Lonchura striata: one gene and its partners. The protein of the gene in region 1 interacts with the protein of each later gene in a biochemical or structural test. Links are inferred from orthologs where the notes say so. Each region holds a gene or a part of one and is shown in the gene's direction. Other genes may lie near its edges.

The links.
Region 2: the proteins of PIN1 (region 1) and PKM form a complex in vitro, tested with the Homo sapiens proteins (2 studies listed by BioGRID, with this or other methods). The link is inferred for Lonchura striata from reciprocal best matches to the Homo sapiens genes PIN1 and PKM.
Region 3: the proteins of PIN1 (region 1) and WEE1 form a complex in vitro, tested with the Homo sapiens proteins (2 studies listed by BioGRID, with this or other methods). The link is inferred for Lonchura striata from reciprocal best matches to the Homo sapiens genes PIN1 and WEE1.
Region 4: the proteins of PIN1 (region 1) and PML form a complex in vitro, tested with the Homo sapiens proteins (2 studies listed by BioGRID and IntAct). The link is inferred for Lonchura striata from reciprocal best matches to the Homo sapiens genes PIN1 and PML.

The regions. Positions count from the first base shown.
Region 1 is NC_134623.1:1,532,938-1,540,545, forward strand, and holds the start of PIN1 (peptidyl-prolyl cis-trans isomerase NIMA-interacting 1), read left to right. Parts: upstream 1-4,605; 5' UTR 4,606-4,633; coding exon 4,634-4,691; intron 4,692-5,770; coding exon 5,771-5,962; intron 5,963-7,160; coding exon 7,161-7,271; intron 7,272-7,608. Other genes in the region: CHCHD5 (coiled-coil-helix-coiled-coil-helix domain-containing protein 5), read left to right, coding at 1,004-1,129. UniProt on the Homo sapiens protein: Peptidyl-prolyl cis/trans isomerase (PPIase) that binds to and isomerizes specific phosphorylated Ser/Thr-Pro (pSer/Thr-Pro) motifs.
Region 2 is NC_134613.1:7,004,106-7,012,068, forward strand, and holds the start of PKM (pyruvate kinase PKM), read left to right. Parts: upstream 1-4,947; 5' UTR 4,948-5,080; intron 5,081-7,963. Other genes in the region: protein mono-ADP-ribosyltransferase PARP6, read right to left, coding at 1-11, 225-291, 381-471, 608-668, 1,525-1,619, 1,741-1,887. UniProt on the Homo sapiens protein: Catalyzes the final rate-limiting step of glycolysis by mediating the transfer of a phosphoryl group from phosphoenolpyruvate (PEP) to ADP, generating ATP.
Region 3 is NC_134608.1:51,622,139-51,629,754, forward strand, and holds the start of WEE1 (wee1-like protein kinase), read left to right. Parts: upstream 1-4,614; 5' UTR 4,615-4,626; coding exon 4,627-5,187; intron 5,188-7,079; coding exon 7,080-7,285; intron 7,286-7,616. UniProt on the Homo sapiens protein: Acts as a negative regulator of entry into mitosis (G2 to M transition) by protecting the nucleus from cytoplasmically activated cyclin B1-complexed CDK1 before the onset of mitosis by mediating phosphorylation of CDK1 on 'Tyr-15'.
Region 4 is NC_134613.1:6,278,858-6,285,802, reverse strand, and holds the start of PML (protein PML), read left to right. Parts: upstream 1-3,942; 5' UTR 3,943-4,207; coding exon 4,208-4,794; intron 4,795-6,945.

The DNA.
Region 1 (7,608 bases):
CTGGGGACACCGGTGAGAATCCCGGGATAAAACCGGGATATCAGCCGGGGACACCGGTGAGAATCCCGGGATAAAACCGGGATTTCAGCCGGGGACACCGGTGAGAATCCCGGGAAAAACCGGGATATCAGCCGGGGACACCGGTGAGAATCCCGGGATAAAACCGGGATATCAGCCGGGGACACCGGTGAGAATCCCGGGATAAAACCGGGATTTCAGCCGGGGACACCGGTGAGAATCCCGGGAAAAACCGGGATATCAGCCGGGGACACCGGTGAGAATCCCGGGATATTAGCCGGGGACACCGGTGAGAATCCCGGGAAAAACCGGGATATCAGCCGGGGACACCGGTGAGAATCCCGGGATATCAGCCGGGGACACCGGTGAGAATCCCGGGAAAAAACCGGGATATCAGCCGGGGATACCGGTGAGAATCCCGGGATATTAGCCGGGGACACCGGTGAGAATCCCGGGAAAAAACCGGGATATCAGCCGGGGACACCGGTGAGAATCCCGGGAAAAAACCGGGATATCAGCCGGGGACACCGGTGAGGAATTCCGGGATAAAAATGGGATTTCAGCCAGGGACACCGGTGAGAATCCCGGGATAAAACCGGGATTTCAGCCGGGGACACCGGTGAGAATCCCGGGAAAAACCGGGATATCAGCCGGGGACACCGGTGAGAATCCCGGGAAAAAACCGGGATTTTAGTCAGGGACACCGGTGAGAATCCCGGGAAAAAACCGGGATTTTAGCCAGGGACACGGCCACCGGTGAGGATGGAACCCCAAAAAGGGAATTTGAAGCCAAAATTTTAGGATAAAAATGGGATTTTATCCCTCAGGAAACGCTGGAAATTTGGGATTTCATTATCTGAATTCCCTCAAATCCCCCCCGGTGCCGCTTTTTTTATTCCCTCAGTGAAAAAGAGGAAATTTGGGATGGAATTTTGGGACCAAAATATGAATTTTGGGTTTTTTTCCCTTTTTTTTCTCTCCCCAGAAAATCCCAGGAATTGAAAACCCCTCTGGGAACGCCGGGAAAGCCTCAGAAGCTTCCGGAATCTCCTCCCAAATTTTGGGAATTTCCCCTCTGGAAAAGGAGCCCCAATTCCCTGCGGATGCCTGAGCTTTTATCCCAAAAATCGAAGAAATAAAAATCCCAGGAATTTTCAGGATGGGACCAAAAATTCTGATTTTACTTCTTTTCATTCCCATTTTTTCCCCTTTTTTTCCTCTTTTCTTTCCCATTTTTTTCCTCTTTTCATTCCCATTTTTCCTTTTTTTTTCCTCTTTTCTTTCCCATTTTTCCTCCTTTTTTCCCACTTTTCATTCCCAACTTTTTCCTCTTCGCCCCCTCCCCCCCACTTTTTATTCCCTAATTTTATTTAAAAAAAAAGAAGCCAAGAAAAAGAGATATTTCCCCAAAAAATTCCCAATAATCAGCACAGGAAATTGGGAATTTTTACCTGAAAATCTGGGAAAAATCCTGGAAAAAAATGCAGAAAATCCCAAATTTGACCAAACTGAAGCAGGAAATTCTGTTTATTCCACTAAAAGATTCCTGGTTTTTTTGGGAATTTCACAGTGGGGTGGGGGAAAATTGGGAACGAGGCTAAAAAATTCCCAACTTTCTGAATATTTTCCCTTAAAACCACAAAAAAATTGAGGATTTTTACCCTAAAACCACACAAAAATCTGGGAAAAATCCGGGGGAAAAAAATTTAAATTAATTTTAAAAATTAAAATTAATTTTTAAAAAAATTGAAAATTGGGAATTTTTATCTGAAAATCTGGGAAAAATCCAGGAAAAAAAATGCAAATTCTGCCAAACCGAAGCAGGAAATTCCGTTTATTCTGCTAAAAAAATTCCCATTTTTTTGGGAATTTCACGCAGGGTGGGGGAAAATTGGGGAACAGGATCACAAAATCCCCAAATTTCTTAATCTCCAATTTCCTCTTAGAACCAGAAAAAAATTGGGAATTTTTACCTGAAAACCTGGGAAAAATCTGGGGAAAAAAAAGAAAAAGAAATCTGAAATTTGGCCAAACCGAAGCAGGAAATTCCGTTTATTCCGCTGGGAAATTCCCGGTTTTTTTGGGAATTTGGCGCGGGGCCGCAGGGAGGTGGGGGATGTGGGATTTTGGGGATTTTCGGGGGGATTTGTGTTTCTGTGGGCTCGGGGAATTGGAATTTTGGGGGGAAAAAATTGGCATTCGGGACGGGAAAAAACTCCCACGGAAAATTCACACTTTTAGGGAGGGATGCAGGAAAAACCCCGAGCTTTGGGGGGTGAAATTGCCCAAAATTCCGATTTTTTTTTACCCCAAAAATCCGACTTTTACCCCCCAAAATTCCGACTTTTTCCCACAAAATTCTGATTTTTTCCCCCTAAAATTCCAATTTTTTTCCCCACAAAATTCTGATTTTTTCCCCCAAAATTCCGATTTTTTCCCCCAAAATTCCGATTCTTAGGGGGAATTTTGCAAAAATCCCGAGATTTGGGGAGGGAAATCGCCCAAAATTCTGATTTTTAGGGGGGAATGTTACAAAAATTTCCCAAAATTACAATTTCTTTTTCCCAAAATTCTGATTTTGGGACAGAATCTTGGGATTTTGGGGTGGAATCCCAGATTTTGGAGTGGAATTCTGGGATTTTGGGGTGGAATTTGGGGATTTTGAGGTGGATTTTCGGGATTTTGGCTGGAATTTGGAGATTTTGGGGTGGAATTTGGGGATTTTGGGGTGGAATTTCAGGATTTTGGGGTGGATTTTCGGGATTTTGGCCGGAATTCTGGGATTTTGGGGTGGAATTTTGGGGTTTTGGGGTGGATTTTCAGGATTTTGGCCGGAATTTGGGGATTTTGTGGTGGAATTTTGGGATTTTGGCCGGAATTTTGGGATTTTGGGGTGGATTTTCAGGATTTTGGCCGGAATTTGGGGATTTTGGGGTGGAATTTTGGGATTTTGGGGTGGATTTTCGGGATTTTGGCCGGAATTCGGGGATTTTGGGGTGGAATTTGGGGATTTTGGGGTGGAATTTTGGGGTGGATTTTCGGGATTTTGAGGTGGATTTTCGGGATTTTGGCTGGAATTTGGGGATTTTGGGGTGGAATTTTGGGATTTTGGCCGGAATTCAGGGATTTTGGGGTGGAATTTTGGGATTTTGGCCGGAATTTGGGGATTTTGGGGTGGAATTTTGGGATTTTGGGGTGGATTTTCGGGATTTTGGGGTGGAATTTTGGGATTTTGGGGTGGAATTTGGAGATTTTGGGGTGGAATTTGGGGATTTTGGGGTGGAATTTCAGGATTTCGGGGTGGATTTTCGGGATTTTGGCCGGAATTCTGGGATTTTGGGGTGGAATTTCAGGATTTCGGGGTGGATTTTTGGGATTTTGGCTGGAATTTGGAGATTTTGGGGTGGAGTTTTGGGATTTTGGCCGGAATTCCGGGATTTTGGCCGGAATTTGGGGATTTTGGCCGGAATTCCGGGATTTTGGCCGGAATTTGGGGATTTTGGGAGCTCACGTGAAGGAGGATTTGTAGTCGGTGCTGTGGACCCATTCCCAGTTTCCCTCGGCGCCGGGTCCCTGAGGGGAGACTTAAAGGGCGGGAAAAAAAAGGGCGGGGAAAAAAGCTCAAGGGGGAGATGAGGGGAAGAAAGGGGTAGAAAAGGCGGGAAAAAAAAGGCGGGAAAAAAGGCAAGGGGGAGAAAGGCGGGGAAAAAAGGGCGGAAAAAGGGGCAAGCGGGGATGAGGGAAAGAAAGGTGTGGAAAAGGCGGGAAAAAAGGGCAAGGGGGGAAGAAAGGGAAAGAAATGGGGGGGGGGGGAAGGCGAGGAAAAAGCGGGAAAGAGGCGAGGCTGCGGCGCCTTCGGGCGCCATTTGTCCCCTCCCAATCCTCGTTGTCCCCAGCCACCCCTCAGAGCCCCCCCACGGAAGGCAAAGATCCCCCCCAGTCCCTCCCAGTAACCCCCAGTACCCACCCGCGAGGGGGCCCGGGCCGCTGCCGCCATCTTGGCCGTTGCTAACAACAAACGCCGTTGCCAGGCAACGCGCCGGCGTGCCCGTGACGTCACTTCCGGGCCCGCCACAGCGGCGGCCCCGTTGCCGTTAATCCCCGCTGCGGATGAGCTCCGCGATGGGGATGAACGACCACGAGAGGCTGCCTCTCGGTGTCCCCCCGGTTCTCCCGGTGTTCCCCGTTCTCCTCCGCCATCCTCCGTTCTCCCCCTCCCATCCCCCGTGTGACCAAACCGGCGCCACGTAGAGGCTTTAAACCGGCCGCGCGCGTTCTGTAGCGTTGGGTTTGTCGATAATAAAGCTGCTTTTGGAGGCTCCGGTTGATTTCTTTGCTCCGGTGGGACCGGGACGCTCTAACCGGGCACAGTAGAGGCAGCGCTGCGTCTTTGCGTTCCGGTTAAATTTAGCCACGCACGGCCACCATCCCGCCTTTCCCGCGCGCGTCTCGGCTTCACCGCGCGCTTGATTGACAGGCGGCTCCGCCAATAAGATGATGCCCTGAGGGGCGCATCGTCTCTGCCGACCAATAGGAACGCGAGAAGCGCTGGTTTGCCCGCCCCTCCGCGTGGCGGTGTGGGCGGGCCGCGCAGGGCGGGCAGAGGGAAGGGAAGATGGCGGAGGAGGAGAAGCTGCCCGCGGGGTGGGAGAAGCGAATGAGCCGCAGCTCCGGTGAGGGCCTGAGGGCTGGGGGGAAGCGCGGGGAAGGAGCTGCGGCCATGGGGGAGGTGGGAAAGGGCGGTGGGGGCGGCGGGGTTGGGTTTTGGAGGGGGTGAGGGGGCGTGGTGGGGGGGGTGCGTGAGGGGGATTTGAGGAGGGGGCGGCGAATTGAGGGAGGGTCGTGAGGGGGCATCGCTTCAGGGAGGGGGGGTCAATGTCGTGAGGGGAATTTGGGGGGGTCGCCAATTTAGGGGGGTTCTGAGGGGGGGGGGTTCGTCTCAGGGAAGAGGGGGGGCAATTCCGTGAGGGGAATTTGGGGGGTCCCGCTCATGAGGGGAATTTGGGGGGGAGGATCTCCCTCCTGAGGGGAATTTGGGGGGGGATCCCCCTGGTGAGGGGAATTTGGGGGGGCGTCAAAGGGAATTAGGGGGGTTCCCCTTCCTGAGGGGAATTTGGGGGGGATCCTCTTCCTGAGGGGAATTTGGGGAGGATTCCCCTCGTGAGGGGAATTTGGGGGGGGGAATCTCCCTCCTGAGGGGAATTTGGGGGGGAATCTCCCTCATGAGGGGAATTTGGGTGGGATCCCCCTGGTGAGGGGAATTTTAGGGAGATCCCCCTCATGAAGGGAATTTGGGGGGGCTCAATGGATTTTTAGGGTCCTTAACCTGCATTTTGGGTTTAATCACCTCAATTTTCAGCAGCAATCAGTAAGCAATCACTGATCAATAACCTATAATTAATCAATAACTGATATTTGATCAATAGCTCCCCAGGGAGGGGGTACTGCTTCAACCACCAGGCAAAGATCAGCCAGTGGGGTCATTGAGGTGGGAATTGATGTCAATAAGCTGATTTATCAGTGCAAATCAATAAATGATCAGTGATCAATAACCAATAGCCGACCAATATTGATTGATAACCGATTAGTAACCCTGCAGGACACGTGTACTACTTCAACCACCTGGTGAACGCCAGCCAGTGGGGTCAATACTGGGGCCTGTGAGGAGGTTTTGGTACCAATAACCAATTTTTTGATACCGATCGGTAACCAATCAGTAATCAATAACCAATAGCGGATCAATACCCCCCAGGCAGGGTGTACTACTTCAACCACCTGACGAACGCCAGCCAATGGGAGCGGCCGAGCGGCGCGGGCCGGGCGGAGCCGGGCCGGGTGCGCTGCTCGCACCTCCTGGTGAAGCACAACCAGTCCCGGCGCCCGTCCAGCTGGAGGCAGGAGCGCATCACCCGCTCCAAGGAGGAGGCGCTGGAGCTCGTCAATGGTCAGGGATAAACTGGGATAAACTGGGAGTGGTACTGGGATAAACTGGGAGTGATACTGGGGGGATACTGGGATAAACTGGGAGTGATACTGGGGGGTTACTGGGGAGACTCAGCTGGAGGCAGGAGCGCATCACCCGCTCCAAGGAGGAGGCGCTGGAGCTCGTCAATGGTCAGGGATAAACTGGGATAAACTGGGGGGGATACTGGGATAAACTGGGAATGATACTGGGATAAACTGGGAGTGATACTGGGATAAACTGGGAGTGATACTGGGGGGATACTGGGATAAACTGGGAGTAATACTGGGGGGTTACTGGGGAGACTCAGCTGGAGGCAGGAGCGCATCACCCGCTCCAAGGAGGAGGCGCTGGAGCTCGTCAATGGTCAGGGATAAACTGGGAATGGTACTGGGATAAACTGGGAATGATACTGGGATAAACTGGGAGTGATACTGGGATAAACTGGGAGTGATACTGGGGGGATACTGGGATATACTGGGGGGATACTGGGGGTGATGGGCTGATGGGATACTGGTGATACTGGGATACTTGGGGTACTGGGAGTGATGGGATACTGGGGATACTGGGAATGATGGGATACTCAGGGTACTGGGAATACTGGGAGTGATGGGATACTGGGGATACTGGGAATGATGGGATACTCAGGGTACTGGGAATACTGGGAGTGATGGGATACTGGGCATACTGGGGATACTGGGCTTCATTAATGAGCTCAGGAGCTGGACATTCTTTATAAAAGCTCGCCAATGGCAAATAGAAACTCTGGGAATGAATCCCAGGAATTCCAAAGGATTTGGGATCTCCCCGGATTCCACCCCAAATTCCACCTTTTCCCAGAAGTCAGCCCTAAAATTCCACCATTTCCCAAAACTCATCCTAGAATTCCTTCCCTGGATGGTTCTTTTCTCCAATTTTCCCTTTTTTTTGGGGGAAAAAAAAAGCTCCCTGAAATGACCGATTTTTGGGGAAAAAAAAACTGGGAATAGTGAATTTGGGGGGGAAAAAAAAGTGGGAGTGAGTGATGACTTTTCGGGAAAAAAAAACCAGGAATGTTGGTTTTGGGGTAGATTTGAGGATATTTTGGGATTGTCTCATTTCCCATGGAATCTGCGGCACCCAGGGAATTTTGGGAGTGGTTTTGATCCCTAAATTTGGGGTTTTCCCGTTTTTCTTCCAGGTTACATCCAGAAAATCAAATCGGGAGAGGAGGATTTTGAGTCTTTGGCTTCGCAGTTCAGCGACTGCAGCTCGGCCAAGGCTGGAGGAGACCTGGGAGCGTTCGGGAGAGGTGAGGGATTCATCCCAAAAAATCCCCAAATCCATCAATTCCAGGGGAATCATCCCCAAACCCCCCCAAATCCAGAGGATTTACTCTCCAAAAAAAGACCCAAATCCAAGGAATTCCAAGACATTTATCCCCCCTCAAAAAAAACCCTCAAATCCAGGGAATTCACCCCCAAAAAACCCCAAATCCACCAATTTCAGGACTTTTTCTCCCCCCCAAAAAAATCTCCAAATCATGCAATTCCAGGGGATTTATCCCTAAAATCAGCCATTTCAGGGGTTGTTTCCCCAAAAATTCACAGAATCCATCCAATTCCAGGGGATTTATCCCTAAAATCAGC
Region 2 (7,963 bases), on another chromosome or scaffold:
TGCCCAGGATCCTGGCAAACAGGGGGGACAGCGCCCATGGGTGCTTGGTGGTCCATTGACACCCCGAGCCCACACACGGTGGTGCGCCCGTCACAGGATTGTGTGGTGGATAGAAGGCGGTGGAGAGGGGACGTGTGGCACGTGACCAGTTTTGGGGCAGAACAGTGACTCTGTGAGCCACCCCACCCGCTACCCTGGTGTGCCCACCATGTTTCAGCTCTTACTTCTTCAGCTGCAGACCCAGCCCGAAGCCCTCCTTGTTGGACGGCTGGAAAACCTCGATGGACGGTTCTGTGGGGAGAGAGGAGGACGAGCCATCGGTGCACCACTGTGCCTGTCCTGAGGGACAGGGACAACACATCCCGCCCGTCCCCACTCACCGGGGCCATCGAGGTACTGGGAGAGGGAGAAGCGCAGGCGGAGGACGATGGGCTCCGTCCGCAGCACCTTCCAGGCCGTCGCCACCTCCTCCTGCCAAGGCAGAGACACACTTGGGCACAGCCACGGGAGCTCCACCCAGGCAGGCGGATTTGGAGACCCCTGGGGCGCACGTGCCCACCCTTCCCATGCCCTCCCCAGCACTGCTGGGGGCACCCCAGGCTCTCACATCGAGGAAGCTGATGTTCACATGGAGGTCGATGTCCACGTCGTCGATGGTCCCATACTCCCTGTGAAGACACGCGTTGCTGTGGCACGGGGGGGTGGCACGGTGCTGAAACAGTGGCCCAGTGCCCACTGTGCCGGGGTAGGATCATGGGACAGTGACACTGGCACGTGTGGCTCCCTGTGTATCAAGTGTAAGCACAGGGGGATTGCCCAGAATGCAGATGTCAACCTTGGTAACGCCATAATCAGGTGCCCCAAGGATGGCACAGCTGGTTAGGCAGGGCTACCACTACTGGGTGCTGCAAGATGGCATCGTCAAGTGCCTGGGAATGGCATGTCCAGGTGTGCTGGGGATGGCACTGCTGGATGTCTGAGGATGGCACAGCCAGATAGCCCAGGGATGGTACTGCTGGATGTCTGGTAATGCCATGGCCAGGTGACCCAGTGATGCCACAGCGGAGAGCCCTGGACACAGCATAGCTGGGTGCCCAGGGATGGCACAGCTGGGTGTCTGAAGATGGCACAGATGAGTGCCTGGGGCTGCCACAGCTGGATGCTCCATAAATGCCATGTCTGGGTGCCCAAGGATAGTAAGGCCAAGCACTCAGGGCATACTGTGGCCAGTGCCCTGGGGAGGGTATGCCTGAGGGATGGCTCAGCCAGGTGCCCTGGGGATGCCATGATCAGATGCCCCAGAGATGGCACAACCAGATGCCCGGGGATGCTGCGACCAGATGTTCTGGTAATACCACGGCCAAGTGTCCCAGAGATGGCAAGGCAGGATGCCTGGGCATGGCACAGCTGGGTGCCCAGGGACAGCACAGCTGGATGCCTGGGGATACTGCAGCTATCCTGGCACGGCCCGGCCACGTGCCTGGGCCTGGCACTGCCCGGTGCAGGGGCAGCAGCTGCACCCACCTGACGGCCACGGCATTCTCGCTGTAGATCTCCTTCACCGCCTCGATGTCGGCGTCCAGCTGCGGGTGCCGGTACAGGTCGGCGGCACAGGTCCCCTGCGGCACAGCACCGTCACACCCAGAGCCTCCCACAGCCTCCTGCAGCCCCAGGCCTGGCATCAGGCTCAGCCTGGGGCTTCCTGAGCCTCCCGTGGCACCAGGGGGACCCAGCACCCACCTGCACGCCATAGAGGAACTCCTCGGATTCATTGTCCCCGTCGGAGTCATCGTCCGTCCAGTACTGGCCCTTGAGGTCCTGGGGATGGAGGGGTGGGAGGCAGCAGGGATGGGGGAGAGGGTTGGGAAGTGGATTAGGGGAGCACATTAACAGGGAGGGAATTAGGGGGCAGCAGAGCTGGTTCTGGGGAGAGGGCTGAGGGCAGTGGATTGAGGGAACGATTTGGGGGGAGCAGTAATATGGGGAGAACAACAGGGGTTGGGGGGAGTGTTTGGGGACAGCAGGATGGGGATGTGAAATGTGGGCAGTGGGATGGGAGGAATAATTTGGGGCACAGTGGGATGGAGGAGCAGGCTGGGAAAGGGAGGATGGAGGGAGCAGATTAGAGGGGAGCAAGATGGAGACAGCAGGATGGACCATCAGGATGGTGACACTGGAATGGGGGAACAGGATGAGAACAGTGTGGGGGAGCAAGATGGGAACAGAGGAATGGAGAACCAGTGTGGGAGAGCAGGATGGGACAGCAGGATTGGGAAGCAGGATCAGCAGGATGGAGGACCAGGATGGGAACAGCGGCACGGAAGACCAGGATGGAGGACCAGGACGGGGACTGCGCATGGAGCTGCCGGGGATGCCCGGCCGATCGCGACGCGGGGCTCCCTCCTCCTGCTGCGGCCCCATCCCCGCCCCGAGCCGGGGGACCCCGGGGGAACACCGAGGGCCGCTGCCCCTCCCTTGCCCCGAGCCCCGCGGGCCCGTCCCGCCCCGCTGGCGGGCGCGCTGCCCCGCGGCCGTGTCCCCGTGTGCCCGGGTCCCCTCCCGCGTCCCGGCCCCTCACCATGTCAGCGCGGGCCGGCCGCCGCGGGCACGGCCGCCATGCTGCCGGAGGGCCGCGCCTGACGTCACGGCCGCCGCGCGCGTCACCGGCGGCGCCGCCATGACGTCACCGCCGGGCCCCCCCGGGGCGGCGCGGCGCCATGGCGGGGCCGGAGCTGCGGGCGCAGCGCCCCGGATCCCCGTGCCGGGGGTTCCCGGCCAGCACGGGGACGTGGGGTGGCCATGGCGGGTCTCCCTCGCGGTGACCCCACGGTCCAACACAGACCCCGTGTCCCCAGCGCACGGTGACCATTTTGGGTCCCCTCCCTGACTGCCACAGCGTTCCCGCAGCCCAGCCAGTGTCCCCAGTGCAGAGTCCCCGATGTCCCCAGTACAGAGTCCCCAATGTCCCCAGCCCACTTTCCCCAATGTCCCCAGTACAGAGTCCCCAATGTCCCCAGTACAGAGTCTCCAATGTCCCCAGCCCACTTTCCCCAATGTCCCCTGTACAGGGTCCCCAATGTCCCCAGTACAGAGTCCCCAATGTCCCCAGCCCAGTTTCCCCAGTGTCCCCAGTACAGAGTCCCCAATGTCCCCTGTACAGAGTCCCCAATGTCCCCAGTACAGAGTCCCCAATGTCCCCAGCCCAGTTTCCCCAGTGTCCCCAGTACAGAGTCCCCAGTGTCCCCAGCCTAGTGTCCCCAATGTCCCCAGCCCAGTGTCCCCAGTGTCCCCAGTGCAGAGTCCCCAGTGTCCCCAGCCCAGTTTCTCCAGTGTCCCCGGTACAGAGTTCACAGCGTCCCCAGTACAGAGTCCCCAATGTCCCCAGTGCAGAGTCCCCAGTGTCCCCAGTACAGAGTCCCCAATGTCCCCAGCCCAGTGTCCCCAATGTCCCCAGTACAGAGTCCCCAGTGTCCCCAGCCCAGTTTCTCCAGTGTCCCCGGTACAGAGTTCACAGCATCCCCAGTACAGAGTCCCCAATATCCCAGCCCAGTTTCCCTCATGTCCCCAGTGCAGAGTCCCCAATGTCCCCAGTACAGACTCCCCAATGTCCCAGCCCAGTTTCCCCAGTGTCCCCAGTACAGAGTCCCCAACGTCCCCAGTACAGGGCTCCCAGCTCCCCAGCACAGGGTGACTATTTTGGGTCCCCTCCATGGACCACAGGCTTCCCAATGTGCCCACTACAGAACCCCTCTGTGGTCCCAGCATACATTTGGGGTCCCCAGATGGCTGTCAGAGCGTCCCTACAGTCCAGCACAGGGTCTGTGGGACAGGTCCCTGTGTTAATGGCATGTCCCCAGTGTCACCACGGTGCCAGTGTGGAGCCACTGTCATGGGTCACAGGCAAAAGGTCCCCATGGTTCTGGGATCATGTCCCCAATACCTCCAGCACGGGGTCCCCAGTACAACCAGGCAAAGGCCTTCATGGATTTGCCATTCAGTGTCCATGTTGTGTTCCCACACAGCTGGGACAGTGTCCCCTGTGGCCCCAGCATCTCCAGCCTGATCTCTCTTGACCCCAGCACAGTGTCCTCAGCACTCCCAGCACTGATTACTTAGGTTTTAAGCTTTTCTCTTCCATTCTGTGTTGGCGTGCAACTTTTAGCTTTATACCGAGTGTTACTGGGATCTTTTCACAGGGTGGCTGAAGACAAAACAATCCTGCTCTAGGTGGAGACTCAAGGACAAGCTCTTCAAACTTCAGGCCCAGAGCATAAACAACATGAAATGAGTACAGCAGGCAAGCAAGCAAGGAGGATGAAACTTCATAATTTGGAGCTATTAATTGGAAAGTTAAATCCTATATGCAAAAAGACTAAAACTTATAAAAATGTCAGATCTCGTGACCAAGCCTTCTTTTCCTTCCATGTTGGAGCCATCTGCCAGGGTGTGGCCTTTGAAGGCACTTCAATAGAAACCCACTCTATTCTTCCTAACACCATCTAGCCTCAGTTCCAGCTGTTTAAGGCATCAGCACCATGTCACCAGCATCTCCAGCCTCGTGTCCCCAGTGTTCCCAGTACTGTGTCCTCATAGCCCCACTGCAGAGATTCCACACTGCTCGCCAGTGTCCCCATTGGAAGGTCTCGGGACCCTCCAAAGCACCCCAAAACACCCGGAGCCGCTGTCCCCCCCAGAGTGAGGGACCCCTGAGGTGTGAGCTGGGGGTGTCAGTGTGAGTAGGGGGGCCGCGGTCCCTTTAAGAGCGCCGCGCCGGGCCGCGGTCCCTTTAAGGCGACGGCCACTCTCCGTCCGCGCGCGCGGCAGCTGTGCCGCCTCCTCATTGGCCGGCCGAGCGCGTGCTGTGACTCAGCGCCTCCCCCGTGCTTTGTGCGTCCGCCCCTGAAAGTAGCCCCGGCGCCCCGCCCTTGCGGCCCCCGGCAGGGCGGGCGGCGGAGGGATCCGAGGGGGGCGGTGCTGCGGCCGGCCGGGATCACCTTGGCGGGGCGTGGGGGCAGCGTGCAGAGCGGCGGCGGCGCTCGGGGAGAGAGGACGCGTTAGCGGCGTGACTGAGCGGCGGCAGGTAACGGCGACCTGAGGGGCTGCGAGCGGTGGGGCCGGCCGCGCCGGTACCGCCGTTATTCCCGTGTTTCCGCCGCCGGGAGAGGGTCCCCCCGGGCGGCGGCTGAGGGGAGGGGGCGCGCGCCCTACGGGTTGAGGAGGGGGCTCGCGGCGTCGTGCACGTGGCTGCCGGCAGCCCCGGCCCCGCGTCCCCTCCTCTGCCTCGGGCATCCCCCGAGATCCCGCACCGGGGAACGCCCTTTCCGAGCATCCCTCCGCGTCCCAGCATTGGGGAGCGCCCGCTCCGAGCATCCCTTCCGATCCCACGCCGAGGAACGCCGGCTCCAAAGCATCTCCCCACGGCCCACAGCGGGAATCGGCCGTTCCGGGAGCGGGGTGGCGGCGGGGGTACGGTTTGGGGTGCTAGTGAGGCGGGGCACGCGGGAGCGGGGAGCCCCGCGTGTGCCCGGCGGCCGTGCCGTTAAGCGGAGCGCAGGGCGCCGCTGCGGCTGCCGCCCGGCGCGGGCAGCGAGCCGCTGGAGGCTGAGTCAGAGGCAGACGGAGTGAGGCGCTAGGCCGCCTCCCCCACCCCGCCTGCTCTCACGTAAGAGCCGGCAGTTCCCCGAAGGGCATCGGCTTAAATCACCGTCCGGCTCACTGCACCCGCCAGCGATGCTGCAGCCTGCTCCCGGCCCCCCCCGGGAAGAGAAGGCCCTTCCTGAATTAATCTTCTCCCGTAGTTGTGCCCGCTTAAGCACGTCCAACTGATTTGGGCAGTTTCTTGAACTGTGAAAACCTTCCAAACGTGTTTAAACCCCCTTTGCAGAGCTACCAAGGCATGAATAGCGCTTTTGTCGGCGGACAATAGCAACCTCCCGACTGTCTCCTCAGACTACTAAAAGTAGGCGGCAGTATCTAAAAACCTGCTTTTGTTCTGATAAGGCAACTCGGTATCGGAGAGGCACAGGTTAACAAAAAAAATCAGTGTTTTATGAAGGTTTTGTCATGTTAAATTGTTAATTTTCCTGCTGCTCATCATTAGTTGCCTTGGCTCGAAGGTGCAGAGACAAATTTTTGGTTACTCAGACACATCCAGGAACTTGTGCAATTAGAAGTGCTTAATTAAAAAAAAAAAATCAAACCCTCTGAAGAGTGTAATTTTATGCCCGAGATCCCGTTTATAGAGAAGAATTCTGGCTAATATAAAAGGAGGTCGATGGGTTAATGGTCCGTACTGGTGCCAGCAGGTTTCCAGCCCATCACCGGATTAAGCAAAAGTTTTTTGTGCGAGGCCGGAAGCACTGCTGCGAGCCACGTGCTTGAACCAGGGACTTCTGCCTGTGAAACTTGTCTGAGAAACTTCACTTGCACTAGATAAAGAGCTTGGAGAGTCTGCAGCAGCCTGCGTTTTTTGTGTTTTTTTTTTTTTTTTTTTTTTTTTTTAAATTACCTACTATTTTATCTATCTAAACCTGTTACTAAAACTTTCATTTATTGCTGTTAGCCTGAGTGATCCACCGCCGGCCTTAATTCCCTTTCCACCCAACAAATTGATAATTTAATTTGATGGGAGTAAGACGTTTCCCAGGCCGGCTGGACACGTGCTCGTCCTTTATCTCTGGTCTGGCCCTCGTTCTCCTGGTGGAAGATGGAGCCGCAGCGGGTGGTGATGGATGGCACGTAGGAAATGGGGCTGCAGTACCGGGGCGCTGCCACGTGCAGCAATCTCCATCCTGGAGTGGGGATGCAGCGCTGTGGTCTACACTTCTGCCTAGTTAAATGTGAAAAGAAAACCCCCAAGCTTGCTTTTATCTTGTAAAGCAGGTTTTTACAGCTTGCCTGAAGGCAGCCAGGTGCTTTTTGCTAAGCTGAAAGGCTCCCTGTCCTCTGCAAGGTTAAGCCTGTAGGTGTGTCCTACAAATACCCTCGAGATAAGTCTTTCTCGTCACCAAACATCCGATGCTTGCCACCTCCTCTTATTTTTTTAGTTAAGCCTTCCAGGGAGGGCAGCTCGGCAAAGGCGCAGCACAGCCAGCCGTGACACGGGGAAAGTGCCAGACCAGCCTGATCTTCCTGTTCCCCATTGCCAAAAAGCTGGAGGGGCATCTCCGTTGTGGGTCTCTCCTCCTGTGGATCTGCAGCTCAGTGCTGGAGAGAGTGTCGGCTAGCCAGGAGCAGGTGGTGGCTCCTGGGTTCCATCCAGGCTTGCAGAAAAGGGGTGGAATTTTGGGGTGGCCATTTTGTCCTTACGTAACAGCGAGACACCACCTCCAGCACCAGCTGCCTGGCTGGAATGTGCTGTCCTCTGTCCCTGGGAGAGGGGATGTCAGGCCAGGGTAAAAACCTGCTTCTCTGCAGGGCTGCATTTCTCTGTTGTTGAATGCCTTTAGCTTCTGGAATGAGCAAGGCTGATGTTTTTCTAGACTTCTTTTGGGAATCTGAAGGCCTGCCTGATTTCATAACCCTGCCCTGAGCATTAACTCAAACCATTTCTGCCTCCAGGCAGGGTGACTGGGCACGAGCAGCCTTGTTCTGCAGCATCCATGAGGTTGTGTAAGTGAGGCTGACCAGTAAATCCCGAATCATCACCCCCTGGGAGCCTCCTGGCTGGAGTTCCTGCAGGCAGTGACACAGCTCTGGCTGTGGCCTGGGGACAGCCCTTGCTGCAGTTTCTACTTCACTTTGTCACCAATAACAGCAGAGACTTGGGCATGGGTGGGAGTTGCTATTCCCCCTCCTTTCTCCATGCCCAAGGGGCATATCCAGAGAGACTATGATTTTAGGCTTTCTCTCATCTGACCTATGGGATGAGCTGGCTGGAATTACTCACCTGGCTGCAGTAAAACCCAGTCTTGACCTCGGATGGCCAGTCTGAAATATTCAGGAGCTGAGGAGATACCAGAAC
Region 3 (7,616 bases), on another chromosome or scaffold:
TGCTTTTTACTTATTTTTCAAGAGACTTTCAGGCTCTCCATCACGTTACTGCTTGGTTCTGCAGGATTTGCTGAGAAGTTTCTGAACAGGCATCTTAATGAGGCAAGACAAGGCAAAGAGGCTGACTTTCCAACACCTGGCAGGCCTGCTGGCACAACAGAAACTACCCACATGGATGTAAAAAGCTCCTGGAGGTACAACAATGGTCCAAAGCTACATCTCCAGTGGGGTTTATTCCCTGGTGTAGGGCTAATTCAGATTTGAATATAGGTTGTAATGACTAAAAAATTAGAAAGTGCAAGAATGGTTTATAGAACAGATGAGATTAGATGCTTTTTGTTTTTAAACAGATATATTCAAAACAGTAAGAGACAGGTTTTTTAAAAATCTTTTTATCTGCACACCTAAAAAATGCTTGTAAAATGTCTTGCCTTGAATGATGCCCATAAGAGCTTATTAGAAGAAGAGCAGTAGATTAAAAAAAAAAAGGTACAGTACCTCTCTTATGGTTTTGCATGTTCCCTGAAGGAGAAAAAGGAAACAGGTTAGTAATAGAGGTAAATTAGTAGTGTAGTGACTACTTTGTTTCTCTGCATTATCCACTGAGGTTTTTAATTGCTGGTAGAAAATATTTGTTTTGATAATTTTAACTTGGGCTCAACAGAGGAATGGGACATTCTAATTGTACCTGTTTCAGTCATAGCAATCATTCTGTTTCTTCCACTCTTCAGATATTTTGGAGGAAATTTCTTACCTGAAGACAACTCTCAGGAACAGATTGTTTTGCCATTTCTTGCTAAGCAGATTTCAAGTGTTAAGAGGCAGACTTAAAAGCAAAAAAGGGAGTCACTAAGAACTATCATGAGTGTGTGCTCTCATTGTCATAGACAATTATTGAATTGTATGTGACTGCTTGGCACAACCTGTACTTTTTAAATGTACTTTGTACATTTTAACTTCTAAGTACCTTTGGATCTTCCCTGAAATTCCTAGATTTTGGATCCAGAAGCTGTTCTTTACTTTGTGGAAACTCTGATGCTGTCAAATTCCCCTTTCTATTCTCTACCTTTTTCTCTTGCTGTTAATATTTAGAGTTCCTAGATGAATAATTCCCTGAGAAATGTTCTTTCTGCCTGCAGACTATAAAATAAAAAGAGAACAAGGACTGGCAGCATCAGCTATTGCCATGTCGTATATACAAAGTCCATTTCTGATGGGAAACTCATTTAACTCTGGACCTTGTAGTTGAAGAGAAAGAGGTTGCCAGCTAACAGCAGCTGTAAGCAGCACAACCCCAGATAAAATAAACTGCTCACCTTTAGGCTGTTAGTGGCCCAGACACAACATCTCCCAGCTGGCACACTCCCACTGGGACCTATTGTCCTTGTATATGTCAAGTCTTGTGTGAGCACTGGAATGCTATTGCTGGCACTGGTGATAAGCACACTGGTCCCTGGGTACCTGCTGAAAACCAAGATAAAAGCTGGGAAAACAGCAAAAATCTCTCTCTGCTCTCAGTTCTCCACCAACGGCCTTGGCACAGGTGCCTGTAGTGTTTCTGTTTTTCATAAAAGCAGCTTTACCTGCTTCCTCTTCTGCTCTTTCACTCCATTTACACCTCCCCTGATAAGGGGAATTATGCTGGCTGATGTAGAATGGGTTTCAGCCAGATTTTGGCAGAACTCTTCCAATTTGATGGAAGTGCTTTCGGAGGATTCCAGATGAGCTTGCAAGTGCAGGAATCCTGACAAGATGGCAATGCCACTTTTCTGGCAGTTCTGACGGCCAGACAAATTGGCCATTGTTCTCTTTCTTCCCCATTTTTATTTGACTTCCCCTGCTACCCACAAAAGTTGGAAACAATGGTTTCCTTGGGCTTGAAAGCTCCTAGTTAAAAGCAGCTGTTTGCCTGTGAGTCTGTACTGCTCACAGACAGATAAATACTTCTAGTAGCAAAATCCTCAGTGCAGCTTAAAAACAAGTATTATAAGAAGGAAAAGAACCAATGTTGCAAATATATATCCTGAAAACCGTTAAACCACTCAAATTTGTAGGAATATCAGTCAGGCACTGCCTAGACATCAGTTTGTGTGCTGTTATGTCTATTGGAAGAATCAGGGCTTGAGTCTGCAAGATCTGTAGCAGTTCAAAAGTGCAATTTAATCAGTTTCAGAGAATTTGGGATGTTTTGGCTTGGAGAGTGTGGCACAGTGGAGGCCTGCAGAGCTCCTCACTCAGCTTCTTCCTCCTGTGGTGATGTCCATTGCTCTCTGGGATGGAATTGGCTCTGTGGGGCTCTCTAGCCAGGCTGCTCCTGGGGCTCATGATTATTACAGGTGTCACAGGGGACAGGGGAGCAGAGTTCCACTCTCAGTCTGGGCAAAAGTCATCTCTTCCACACAACTGTTCATAGTCCTGTCAGACTACAGCAAAAGAACAACGGGTGCAAGTTCAGAGCAGCAATTACACAGAGCCTGTGAACTCTTACGTAGCAGCTGTGCATTTTGTTACCTACGTATTTATTCACGACTTCCCTTTCTTAATTGCTTTCAGATTGCAAATAAACTTTGTTTCAAAAGCATTGTGTTACTATTGTTTCCTTATTTCTCTGTTCCTTTTTTCCTTTCCTCTCCTGTTTTCCCTTCAGAAATACTTTTTTCTCTGTACAATTCTTGAGTTGTACCATTTGATTTTGTCCCACTAATCTGGTCCAGTGATTAGTATTTAATTGGTTTAACTCAATTACAACAGAGCTTCTGAACTTCAGTTTGTCACTTGCTGTCACCAAATACCTGTGTCTGTAGACTCCAGAAATCATGAGTTATATTACATTGAGTTTGGGAGGGAAACTGCAACCTTTGACATTACAGGGGGAGGGATTTACTGAAAGCTTAGTCTTTGAACTTTTTTAAAGAAAAGGAAACTTCATTTATGACTGAAGAAAGCCACAGATAGTGGCTGGGCAGTTTTGAGTCACTTTATAAGAATTGCTTTGCATCTTCCTCTGTGAGCTCTGAATGGAGAAAGAGGTGGTGGAGATTGTATTTTTAAATAACCTCTTACATAATCTGATCTAAAATTCTAATGCTTCAGTTAGTACTTTGTATACAGAGCCTCTCATTTTAAAAAATTACTAATTTTAATGGGATGTTAGTGCAGTTCTAAATTATTGCACACCAAGTGTGTTTATACTGGACTTGATGTAGCCCTATCTCTGTCCCATTTTCATAGGTGATGTTGGCTACTTTCAGTTTTCTGAAACTTGTTTTCAGTTTTCTCCAAAATGCAAATCTCAAAACTTGTGTTCCTGTGGCTCATCACTGCTTGTCCTAAAACCAAGACAGCTCTCTGCAGAGAAATGGTATTTTCAGGCAGAAGAGGTTAAAGAATTTGGAGCTGCCAGAAGTGCAACAGGGGACACTGACATCCCTGTGAGTCCGAGGAATGTGTCTAGGAATGTGCCAGGGGCAGCACATGAGGACTGCCTGCCGGGCGAGGAGGGTGAGCTCTGCGGAGGCGGAGGGGCTGTGCCGAGCGTCCCGGCGCGCTCAGCTGCGAGGCGAACGCGTCCTGGCGCTCCTGCGGTCCCGGGAGCGCTCTGCGTGCCTGGGGCTCAGCGGGCGGACCCAGCTCGGTGTTTGGGCTCTCGGGGCTCCCGTGCCTGGAAAAAAAACTGTTTTTTCATGGGCTCTGCTACCCAAGGGGCTCGTTTTAAGGTGATTTGGTTCAGAAGAGAGGGACGGGTTGATCTGTTGGGGGTAATCAGACAGAAGACGAAACCACGAGGCAAAGTGGTGGCACCTGTAGGGAGACACGCCTGATGCGCAGCACCCACCGTGCATGGGCTTGGCTGTGCTGGGACTGAGTCCGTCTGCAGCGTCCTACGGGAGTGAACGGCACGGGCACGGGCACGGGCAGCGCGCCGGCCGCAGCCCTTTAAACCACGTGCGTCCCGTTATTGGGAATGCAGGAACCGTCTGGCCGCGCTTAGAAAAGGAAACACGGTCTTTAACTGGCGCACAAGGTGCTGTTATTATTATTGTTGTTATCATATATTAAATACTGTATTATCATTATGGACATTTTTCCAGTTCCAGCAACTCTACGGGAGCAAGAGCACGTTGCAGGGGAGCGGGAGCGGCAGTCCCGCAGGGCGGCGCGGCGTCCCCAGGCTCGCCGGGCGCTGCCCCCGGAGCTGCCCGGGCGGGGCAGGGCGCTGTCCCCGCGGTGATCCCGGCGCTCCCCGAACGCCGTCTCCAGGCGGTTCCCGCTGCCCGGGCGGGGCCGCCCCGGGGCTAAAATGGCGCCGGGCGCGCACCTCACGGGCGGACACGTCCGCGCGGCCGCCTCGGGGCGGGGCCCCGCCCCGGCCCGGCCCCCCCGCTCGCGCCAAAGCGGCTCGTGACGCGGCCGCGCGCGGCCCCGCCTCCGCGCGCCGTGTTTTCAAACCTGGTGGGCGGGCGCGATTGGCCGGCGTGCGCCGCACGTGACCAACGGTCGCGGGAAAGCCGCGGAGTCCGAACGGCGCGCGGCGGGACCGTTCCTGGGCAGCGCGAGCCGAACCGGCACCGCACGCGGGCGGAGCGCGGGCAGCGCAGCGGGAGCGGCGCGGGCGGAGCGGCCGCCATGAGCTTCCTCAGCCTGCAGCGGGCGGCGCCGCCGCGGCGCGTCTCGGCCCGGCGGGCGGCGGCCCCGATCCGGCAGAAGCTGCTGTTCCTGAGCGGCCACAGCGACTGCGAGGAGGAGGAGGAAGAGGAGGAGGAGGAAGGCTGCGGCAGCGGCAGCGCCAACAGCACCGGCGAGGACTCGGCGTTCCAGGAGGCGGACTCGCCGCTCTCGGCCGCGCGCACCCCGGCGCGGAGCGACCCGCCCCTGCTGGAGGAGGAGGAGGAGATGGAGCCGGCGGCGGCGCCGCTGCCGGACGAGGGGGACTCGTGGGAAGAGGAAGGCTTCGGCTCCTCGCCGGTCAAGTCGCCCGGAGCCTATTTCCTGCTCGACTCGCCCTCTCCGCTGGCCCCGCACAAGGGCCGGCGCTGCTGCGAGCGCTCCCCGCCGCACTCGGCGGCCGGCGGGTACCGGGGGGCGCGGGGCGAGGAGCCCGGCTCGCCGCTGCCCGACTACCCGGGCACGCCGCCGCACAAGACCCTGCGCAAGCTGCGGCTGTTCGACACGCCGCACACGCCCAAGGTGAGCCGGGCGGGGTCGGGTCGGGCCGTTCGGTAACGGCGGCGCCGCTCGGGACCGCGCCGGGGCTCCGGCCGGGGCGGGGTCCGGCGGCGCCGCCTCCCGACGGGACACGGGGCGAGCCGCTTGCTTAGGTGGTAGTCATATAGAAACTAAAAAGTTTTCCGAGTTGGGCAGTGTTTTGTGGAAAGCGTGTTTGAAAAGTGTGAGCGTAGAGTATTAAAACTCCTAGAGTAAGTGCTGGAGTGTGGAGTGGGCGTTGGTAGGGGTGTAGCCAGAAAGTTAAAGCTCGGCTTGGGGTGTGATCCTGCGGTGAGCTGGCATTTCCTAGAAGGAATTTCTTCACAGGAAAGGTGATTTGTCATCGGAATGGATGATGGAATCACCTGGGAGGTGGTGGAGTCACCGTCCCTGGAGGTGTTTAAGGAGAGGCTGGAGCTGGCACTCGGTGCCGTGCGCTGGCGAACACGGCGGTGCTGGGTCGTGAGCTGTGCCCGATGATCTCAGAGGCTTCTCCAGCCTGGCGGGCTCTGCTGTGATCCTGCCGTGTGCCAGCGCTGCTTCAGCGGCCGCGCTCCTGCATCAAACGCGAAACGCTCTTTGAGCAGTCGATGCTGATGGAGTCCAAAGTTTAGATGGACAGATGGGTAGCTCTTAACTCTGTCAATAACAGACTTTTGGAACGCATTTCAGCTTTTGAACTCGATGCTGTGTAAAATCGCGTATAGTGAATTTAAATCTAGTCATAATTGACTTCCTTTCTTCATTACTTTTTGTATAGCCCTTTAGAAGTAATCCTGGGATAATCCCCGGGGATAATCTCCCGGGGTGTATAGACTATAGATGGAAAACAACTGATTTAAGGTGCGAGGAAGGCTTCCTTCTTAATTGGTTTTCTACAGCTTCCATCTCCAGTGAGGTTTCACTGGTAAAAATCAGTGGTACATGTTTGTAAAAGGTAAAATTGGTCATGAGTTTACACCTTGTCAGGGGCAGACGCTTCAGAGTTGACAAAGTTTTGTGATACTAAAAACAAGTTCTTAACACAAGAGTTCAGTGGGATTCTTAATTTAGGGGGCCGAATTCTACATAGATGATCTTTGGAAGGCTCAGTTGTTTCAGACGAGATTCCCATATACTGAGTGTTCTTCCCTGTGGTGGTTTAGGCTTCAGTCCTGTCAGATCTTTATTTTGTTCTTAGGATAAGGTGCTCCTTCTGGTTGTGATCCAGTCGTTGCCATCCTCACCAGGATGAAGGAGACTCAGGTGCAGACTTTTCAGTGTAACTGGGAGAGGTTTTGTTATGTGCCTGGAAGATGCAAATCACCACCCAGAAGATCAATTTTGGATATTTAAATGACAGTGCAGCCATGCTGCTAATTCTTGGACCGTTTTTTGTAGGCTCAGGAAATATTAAATGTTGTATTTGCTATTTTTTTTGAAGATTGTCACCTAAATTTGTAGAAACCAAAGATCGTTCCATGTCTGATCTAGCTTCCAGATCCTGCATGGGCAAATCATGGTGGTACAGTACAGGATTGTCCTTGAATTTTATCTGTGCTCATTTAATGGACAAATATTTGTCCAGGAAGTTTAGGTGATGAAATTATTAAAGAAAGAAAAAGATTACTCTCATCATCATCTTTTATCTTTGAAAAATAATTTTAATATTTGTTTGCTTGAACTGTTTCTGTGTAGTGTACAAAGCATAGTAGTTTCTTAGAAATTATTTTTTATGGAAATGCAGGTATTTAAACAACAGATGCTGACTTTAATTAGATAATACTGTAATGATGGCTTCAGGCACAACCTGACTGTTTGATGTCTAAGGTAATATCACGGCTGTAAGTGACTTTAAATGTTTTGGTTTTGTTTCTTTTTTTTTTTAAATACAGAGCTTGCTTTCTAAAGCACAAGGCTTAGGCTCCAGCTCAGTCAAACTTCGAGGGGGCTCGCTGTTTATGAATGTTGGGAAAGCAGAGAAGCAGGAAGATTTTAGACAAACACCTCATGTGAACATCAATCCCTTCACTCCCGATTCCATGTTCCTTCACAACTCTGAAGGCAAATGTCGTAGGAGGAAGAGAATACACTGGAATGAGTGAGTGACTTGTACCTTCCTTTGTTAAACTTGTATTTTAGAACTACTTTTGGCTGCAAAAATTTTGTTACAAATTGCTTCTAAGAAAGTATTTTTGCTTGCAGGTTGTTAGTAATGTATAATACAGCTCTTAAAGTATGTGCTTCAAGAGGCATGATATAATCATTTAGCACTAGATCTTTTGATTACTGCACAGAGAGGATAGACTGGGCTGTGTGCTGGTCTTTTTTCCCCTCATGGAATGGGCCATAGAGTCTTTTCTTCAGAAGGAAAAAAAAAAATGTGTTAAATACAAGTGTGAAACATGGAGAAAGAAAGGACAAATATATTA
Region 4 (6,945 bases), on another chromosome or scaffold:
TGAGCGGCCTCGGGATCGGGATCGGGATCGGGATTTGGGATCGGGATCGGGATCGGGATCGGGATTTGGGATGGGGATTTGGGATTTGGGATCTGGGATCGGGATCGGGATCGGGATCGGGATTTGGGATCTGGGATCTGGGATCGGGATCGGGATCGGGATCGGGATCGGGATTTGGGATCTGGGATCTGGGATCGGGATCGGGATTTGGGATTTGGGGTTTGGGGTTTGGGATCTGGGATCGGGATCGGGATCGGGATCAGGATCGGGATTTGGGGTTTGGGGTTTGGGGTTTGGGATCTGGGATCGGGATCGGGATCGGGATCGGGATCAGGATCGGGATTTGGGGTTTGGGATTGGGATCGGGATTTGGGATGGGGATTTGGGATCGGGATTTGGGATTTGGGATCGGGATTTGGGATCGGGATCAGGATTTGGGATCGGGAACGGGAACGGGATTTGGGATCGGGATTTGGGATCTGGGATCTGGGATCTGGGATCGGGATCGGGATCGGGATCAGGATCAGGGTTTGGGATGGGGATTTGGGATGGGGATTTGGGATCTGGGGTTTGGGATTTGGGATAGGGATTTGGGATCGGGATTGGGATCGGGATCGGGATCGGGATCGGGATTTGGGATGGGGATTTGGGATCGGGATTTGGGATGGGGATTTGGGATCGGGATCGGGATTTGGGATTTGGGGTTTGGGATCTGGGATCGGGATCGGGATCGGGATCGGGATCGGGATTTGGGATCGGGATCGGGATCGGGATTTGGGATCGGGATCGGGAACGGGATCGGGATTTGGGGTTTGGGATCTGGGATCGGGATTTGGGATCTGGGATCGGGGTTTGGGATGGGGATCTGGGATGGGGATCTGGGATCTGGGATAGGGATTTGGGGTTTGGGGTTTTGGGATGGGGATTTGGGATCTGGGGTTTGGGATTTGGGATAGGGATTTGGGATCGGGATTTGGGATTTCAGATCGGGATCTGGGGTTTGGGATATGGGATTTGGGATGGGGATCTGGGATGGGGATTTGGGATCTGGGATCTGGGATCGGGATTTGGGATGGGGAGTTGAGATCTGGGGTTTGGGATCGCGATTTGGGATTTGGGATCTGGGGTTTGGGATTTGGGATAGGGATTTGGGATCGGGATTTAGGATGGGAATTTGGGATGGGGATTTGGCATTTGGGATTTGGGATGGGGATTTGGGATCGGGATTGGGGATTTTGGGATCGGGATTTGGGATTTTGGGATCAGGATTTGGGAAGGGGATTTGGGATTTGGGGTTTGGGATTTGGGATTTGGAATCTGGGATCTGGATCTGGGATTTGGGACGGGGATCAGGATCGGCATTTGGGACCACAGGGATTTGGGATTGGGATCTGGGATGGGGATTTGGATTGGCATTTGGGATTGGGATTTGGGATTTGGGATCGGCATTTAGGATGGGAATTTGGGATGGGGATTTGGCATTTGGGATTTGGGATCGAGATCTGGGATGGGGATTTGGATCGGGATCTGGGATCAGGATTTGGGCTTTGGGATCGGGATCTGGGATCGGGATCTGGGGTTTGGGATTGGGATTTGGGATTTGGGATCGGGATCTGGGATCGGGATCTGGGGTTTGGGATGGGGTTTGGGAGCGGGATCTGGGGTTTGGGATGGGGTTTGGGATCGGGATCTGGGATTTGGGATGGGGTTTGGGAGCGGGATCTGGGATTTGGGATGGGGTTTGGGATCGGGATCTGAGATTTGGGATGGGGTTTGGGAGCGGGATCTGGGATTTGGGATGGGGTTTGGGAGCGGGATCTGGGGTTTGGGATGGGGTTTGGGAGCGGGATCTGGGATTTGGGATGGGGTTTGGGAGCAGGGCAGCCCCGCTGGGTTTGTCCCCAAGTCCCCGTCCCGGCTCCGGCGGCGCCTTCCCGGGGCCGGGATCCCCTTCCCGACCCCACAGCCGACCCCACGGTCCCCTTCCAGCCCCACAGTCCCCACCCCAATCCCAGATCCCCATCCCAAATCCCAGATCCCCATCCCACATCCCCATCCCGATCCCAAATCCCCATCCCGATCCCACATCCCCATCCCAGCCCCACAGTCCCCACCCCAATCCCAAATCCCCACCCCAATCCCACATCCCCATCCCGATCCCACATCCCCATCCCGATCCCAAATCCCCATCCCAGTCCCAGAATCCCCATTGCAATCCTACATCTCCATCCCAATCCCACATCCTGATCCCAAATCCTTTTCCCAGGCTCCATCCCAGTCCCAAATCCTCATCCCGGTCCCAGAGTGCCCATCCTGATCCCATATCCTGCTCCCCATCCCTGCATCCCAAATCCCGATCCCACAGATCCAACCCTAGGCAACACCTCAATCCCAAATTCCCATCCCGATCCCAAATCCCCTTCCCAGTCCCAGAATCCCCATTCCAATCCTACATCCCCATCCTGATCCCACATCCCGATCTGAAATCCCCATCCCGGTCCCAGATCCTGATCCCAAATTCCCGGTCCCGCATTCCCGGGCACCGCCTCACAGCTCCGCCCTCCCTCTCCCCTCCCTGTCCCCTCCCTGTCCCCTCCCTGTCCCTCCCTGTCCCTCCCTGTCCCCTCCCTGTCCCTCCCTGTCCCTCCCTCTCCCCTCCCTCTCCCCTCCCTGTCCCCTCCCTGTCCCTCCCTCTCCCCTCCCTCTCCCCTCCCTGTTCCCTCCCTGTTCCCTCCCTGTCCCCTCCCTGTCCCCTCCCTGTCCCTCCCTCTCCCCTCCCTCTCCCCTCCCTGTCCCTCCCTGTCCCTCCCTCTCCCCTCCCTCTCCCCTCCCTCTCCCCTCCCTGTCCCTCCCTGTCCCCTCCCTGTCCCCTCCCTGTCCCTCCCTCTCCCCTCCCTCTCCCCTCCCTGTCCCCTCCCTGTCCCCTCCCTGTCCCTCCCTCTCCCCTCCCTCTCCCCTCCCTGTCCCCTCCCTGTCCCTCCCTGTCCCCTCCCTGTCCCTCCCTCTCCCCTCCCTCTCCCCTCCCTCTCCCCGCTCCTCCTCCCGCCGTTCCCGTCCCCGCCGCGCCCCGCAGGTACCGGGAGGGACCCGGGGACAGACCCGGGACAGACCCGTGGACAGACCCGGGACAGACCCGGGACAGACCCGGGACAGACCCGGGCCAGACCGGGGACCCGGGGGGGGGACCCGGGGGGGACCTGGGGGGTCCCGGGGACAGACCGGAGCCCCTGCCCGGGGAGAGGGGCCGGGTGCGTTTTTAGGGCGGGGTGGGAAGGGGGTTCCCTTGGCTTCGGGGGCTCAGCCAAGGGGGTTTTGGGGTCCCAGCCAAAGGTTTTGGGGTCACTGCCGGGGGGGTTTTGGGGTCCCAGCCAAAGGTTTTGGGGTCACTGCCGGGGGGGTTTTGGGGTCCCAGCCAAAGGTTTTGGGGTCACTGCCGGGGGGGTTTTGGGGTCGCTGCCAGGTAGATTTTGGGGTCTCAGCCAAGGGGGTTTTGGGGTCACTGCCGGGGGGGTTTTGGGGTCGCTGCCAGGTAGATTTTGGGGTCTCAGCCAAGGGGGTTTTGGGGTCTCAGCCAGGGAGGTTTTGGGGTCTCAGCCAAGGGGGTTTTGGGGTCTCAGCCAGGGAGGTTTTGGGGTCTCAGCCAGGGAGGTTTTGGGGTCTCAGCCAAGGGGGTTTTGGGGTCTCAGCCAGGGAGGTTTTGGGGTCTCAGCCAAGGGGGTTTTGGGGTCGGTGCCAGGTAGATTGTGGGGTTGCTACCGGGGAGGTTTTGGGGTTGCTGCCAAGGGGGTTTTGGGGTCACTGCCAAGGGGGTTTTGGGGTCTCAGCCAGGGAGGTTTTGGGGTTGCTGCCAAGGGGGTTTTGGGGTCGGTGCCAGGGAGGTTTTGGGGTTGCTACCGGGGAGGTTTTGGGGTCTCAGCCAGGTAGATTCTGGGGTCTCAGCCAAGGGGGTTTTGGGGTCTCAGCCAGGGAGGTTTTGGGGTCCGGGTGTCCCGGCTTTTCCCTCTGTCGGGGCAGGAAGGGGCGGTGGCCATGGCGGCACGGAAAGCGTTTTACTTTCACTTCCACCGGCGCTCGGGAACCCGAGATTCCGGGAAGATCGAGAGCTCGGGAGGGTGGCGAGGGAGCGAGGGGCGGGACAGCAGAGCCCCGAGCGGGATCTGTAGCTCCGACCCCCGACCTGCTCCATCCCGGGGGCGCATCCCCGCAGATGGAGACGGAACCGGAGGCACAAGCGGCACCGGAGCAGCAGCCGGAGCCGTGCCCGGCCTCGAGCACCCCGGCACCGGCCTCCCCTCCCCATCACCCCGCCGAGGGCGAGGATGAGGAGGAAGAAGATGACGATTTCCAATTCCTGCGCTGCGACGGCTGCGGGCAGGAGTCGCCTCAGCCGCGGCTGCTGCGCTGCCTGCACACGCTGTGCCCGGCGTGCCTGAGCGACACCAAGCAGTGCCCGCGCTGCCGGGCGGCCGCGGCCGTGCCCGCCGTGGACAACCTGCTCTTCTGCAACCTGCGGAGCCGCCTGCAGCTCTGGCGGCAGATCCGCAGCGCCGGCGGGCCGGGCTGCGGGCACTGCCGCGCCGAGGCGGCGCTGGTTTGGTGCCAGGAGTGCGAGGAGTTCCTGTGCGGGCGCTGCCTGGAGGAGCACCAGTGGTGGCACAAGAAGAAGGCGCACAGGGTGCGCAGGGTGGAGGAGCTGCGGGCGGGCTCGGCGCGGCAGTTCCTGGAGGACACGCGCGGCTCCTGCAGCCTCTTCTGCTCCAGCGACAGCCACCCCGAGGAGAGCCGCGTCTGCAGGTGGGAGCGCCTCGGCACCGCTGCGGGCGACACCGCGAATCTCCTCCTGGCCCCAGATCTTGTCCTGGCCTCAAAGCTTGTCCTGGTACCAAAGCTTGTCCTGGTACCAAAGCTTGTCCCATCCCAAAACCTCATCCTGGCCCCAGATCTTGTCCTGGTACCAAAGCTTGTCCTAGCTCCAAAGCTTGTCCCATCCCGAAACCTCGTCCTGGCTCCAGATCTTGTCCTAGCCCCAGATCTTGTCCTGGTACCAAATCTTGTCCCATCCCAAAACCTCGTCCTGGCCCCAGATCTTGTCCTGGCTCCAAAGCTTGTCCCATCCCAAAACCTCGTCCTGGCTCCAGATCTTGTCCTGGCTCCAGATCTTGTCCTGGTACCAAAACTTCTCCTGGCCCCAAAGCTTGTCCCATCCTGAAACCTCGTCCTGGTACCAAAGCTTGTCCTGGCCCCAAATCTTGTCCCATCCCAAAGCCTCGTCCTGGCCCCAGATCTTGTCCTGGTACCAAAGCTTGTCCCATCCCGAAACCTTGTCCTGGCCCCAGATCTTGTCCTGGTACCAAAGCTTGTCCTAGCTCCAAAGCTTGTCCCATCCCGAAACCTCATCCTGGCCCCAGATCTTGTCCTGGTACCAAAGCTTGTCCCATCCCGAAACCTTGTCCTGGCCCCAGATCTTGTCCCGTCCTCAAAATGTATCATGGCCCCAAATCTTGTCCTGGTACCAAAGCTTGTCCTAGCTCCAAAGCTTGTCCCATCCCGAAACCTCATCCTGGCCCCAGATCTTGTCCCGTCCTCAAACTGTATCATGGCCCCAAATCTTGTCCTGTCCCCAAATCTCTTCCTGGCCCCAAATCTTGTCCTGGTACCAAAGCTTGTCCTGGCCCCAAAGCTTGTCCCATCCCAAAACCTCATCCTGGCTCCAGATCTTGTCCTGGCTCCAGATCTTGTCCTGGTACCAAAGCTTGTCCTGGCTCCAGAGCTTGTCCCATCCTGAAACCTCGTCCTGGTACCAAAGCTTGTCCTGGTACCAAATCTTGTCCCATCCCAAAGCCATGTCCTGGCCCCAGATCTTTCCTGGTCTAAGATCTTGTCCTAGCCCCAGATCTTGTCCTGGCCCCAAATCTTGTCCCGTTCTCAAACTTCATCCTGGTCCCAGATCTTGTCCTGGCTCCAGATCTTGTCCTGGTACCAAAACTCATCCTGTCCTCAAATCTCACACGGGCCCCAAATCTTGTTCTGGTCCCAAAACTTCGTCCTGGCCCCAGATCTTGTCCTGGCTCCAAATCTTGTCCTGTCCCCAAATCTCATCCCATCCCCAAACCTTGTCCTGTCTCCAAAGCTCATCCCATCCCCAAGTCTCATCTTGTCCCCAAACTTCATCCTGTCCCCAAATCTTGTCCTGTCCCCAATCTCATCTGGTCCCGTATCCTTGTCCCGTCCTCAAATCTCACACTCTCCCCACACCTTGGCCTGTCCCCGGACATTGCCATGGCCCCAGATCCTCTCCCCAAATCTCATCCTGTCCCCAAATCTCATCCTGTCCCCAAAACTCAATTGTCTCCAAATTTCATCCTGTCCCCAAAACTCTTCCTGTCCCCAAACATTGCCATGGCCCGAAAACTTATATTGTCCTCAAACCTCGTCCTGTCCTCAAATCTTGTCCTGTCCCCAAAACCTCCCCATCCCCAAATCTCGTCCTGTCCCCAAAGCTTGTCCTGCCCCCGAATCCCACCCTGCTCCAGGAGGTTTGGGGGTGATGCTCCAGCCTGGAATGTGCAGGAGTGGGATGAACCCAAATCTCATCCTGTCCCAAAATGTCACACAGTCCCCAAACCTCATCCTGTCCCAAAATGTCACACAGTCCCCAAACCTCATCCTGTCCCAAAATGTCATAGTCCCCAAATCTCATCCTGTACCCAAATCTCATCCAGTACCCAAACCTTATCCTGTCCCCAAAATCCCGTCCTGTCCCCAAATTCCCTGTCCCCAAATCCCTTGTCTCCAAATCCTGTCCTGTCCCCAAATCCCGTCCTGTCCCCAAATTCCGTCCTGTCCCCAAATCCCCTGTCCCCAAATCCCTTGTCCCCAAATCCCATCCTGTCCCCAAATTCCATCCTGTTCTCAAATCCTGTCCTGTCCCCAAATCTCATCCTG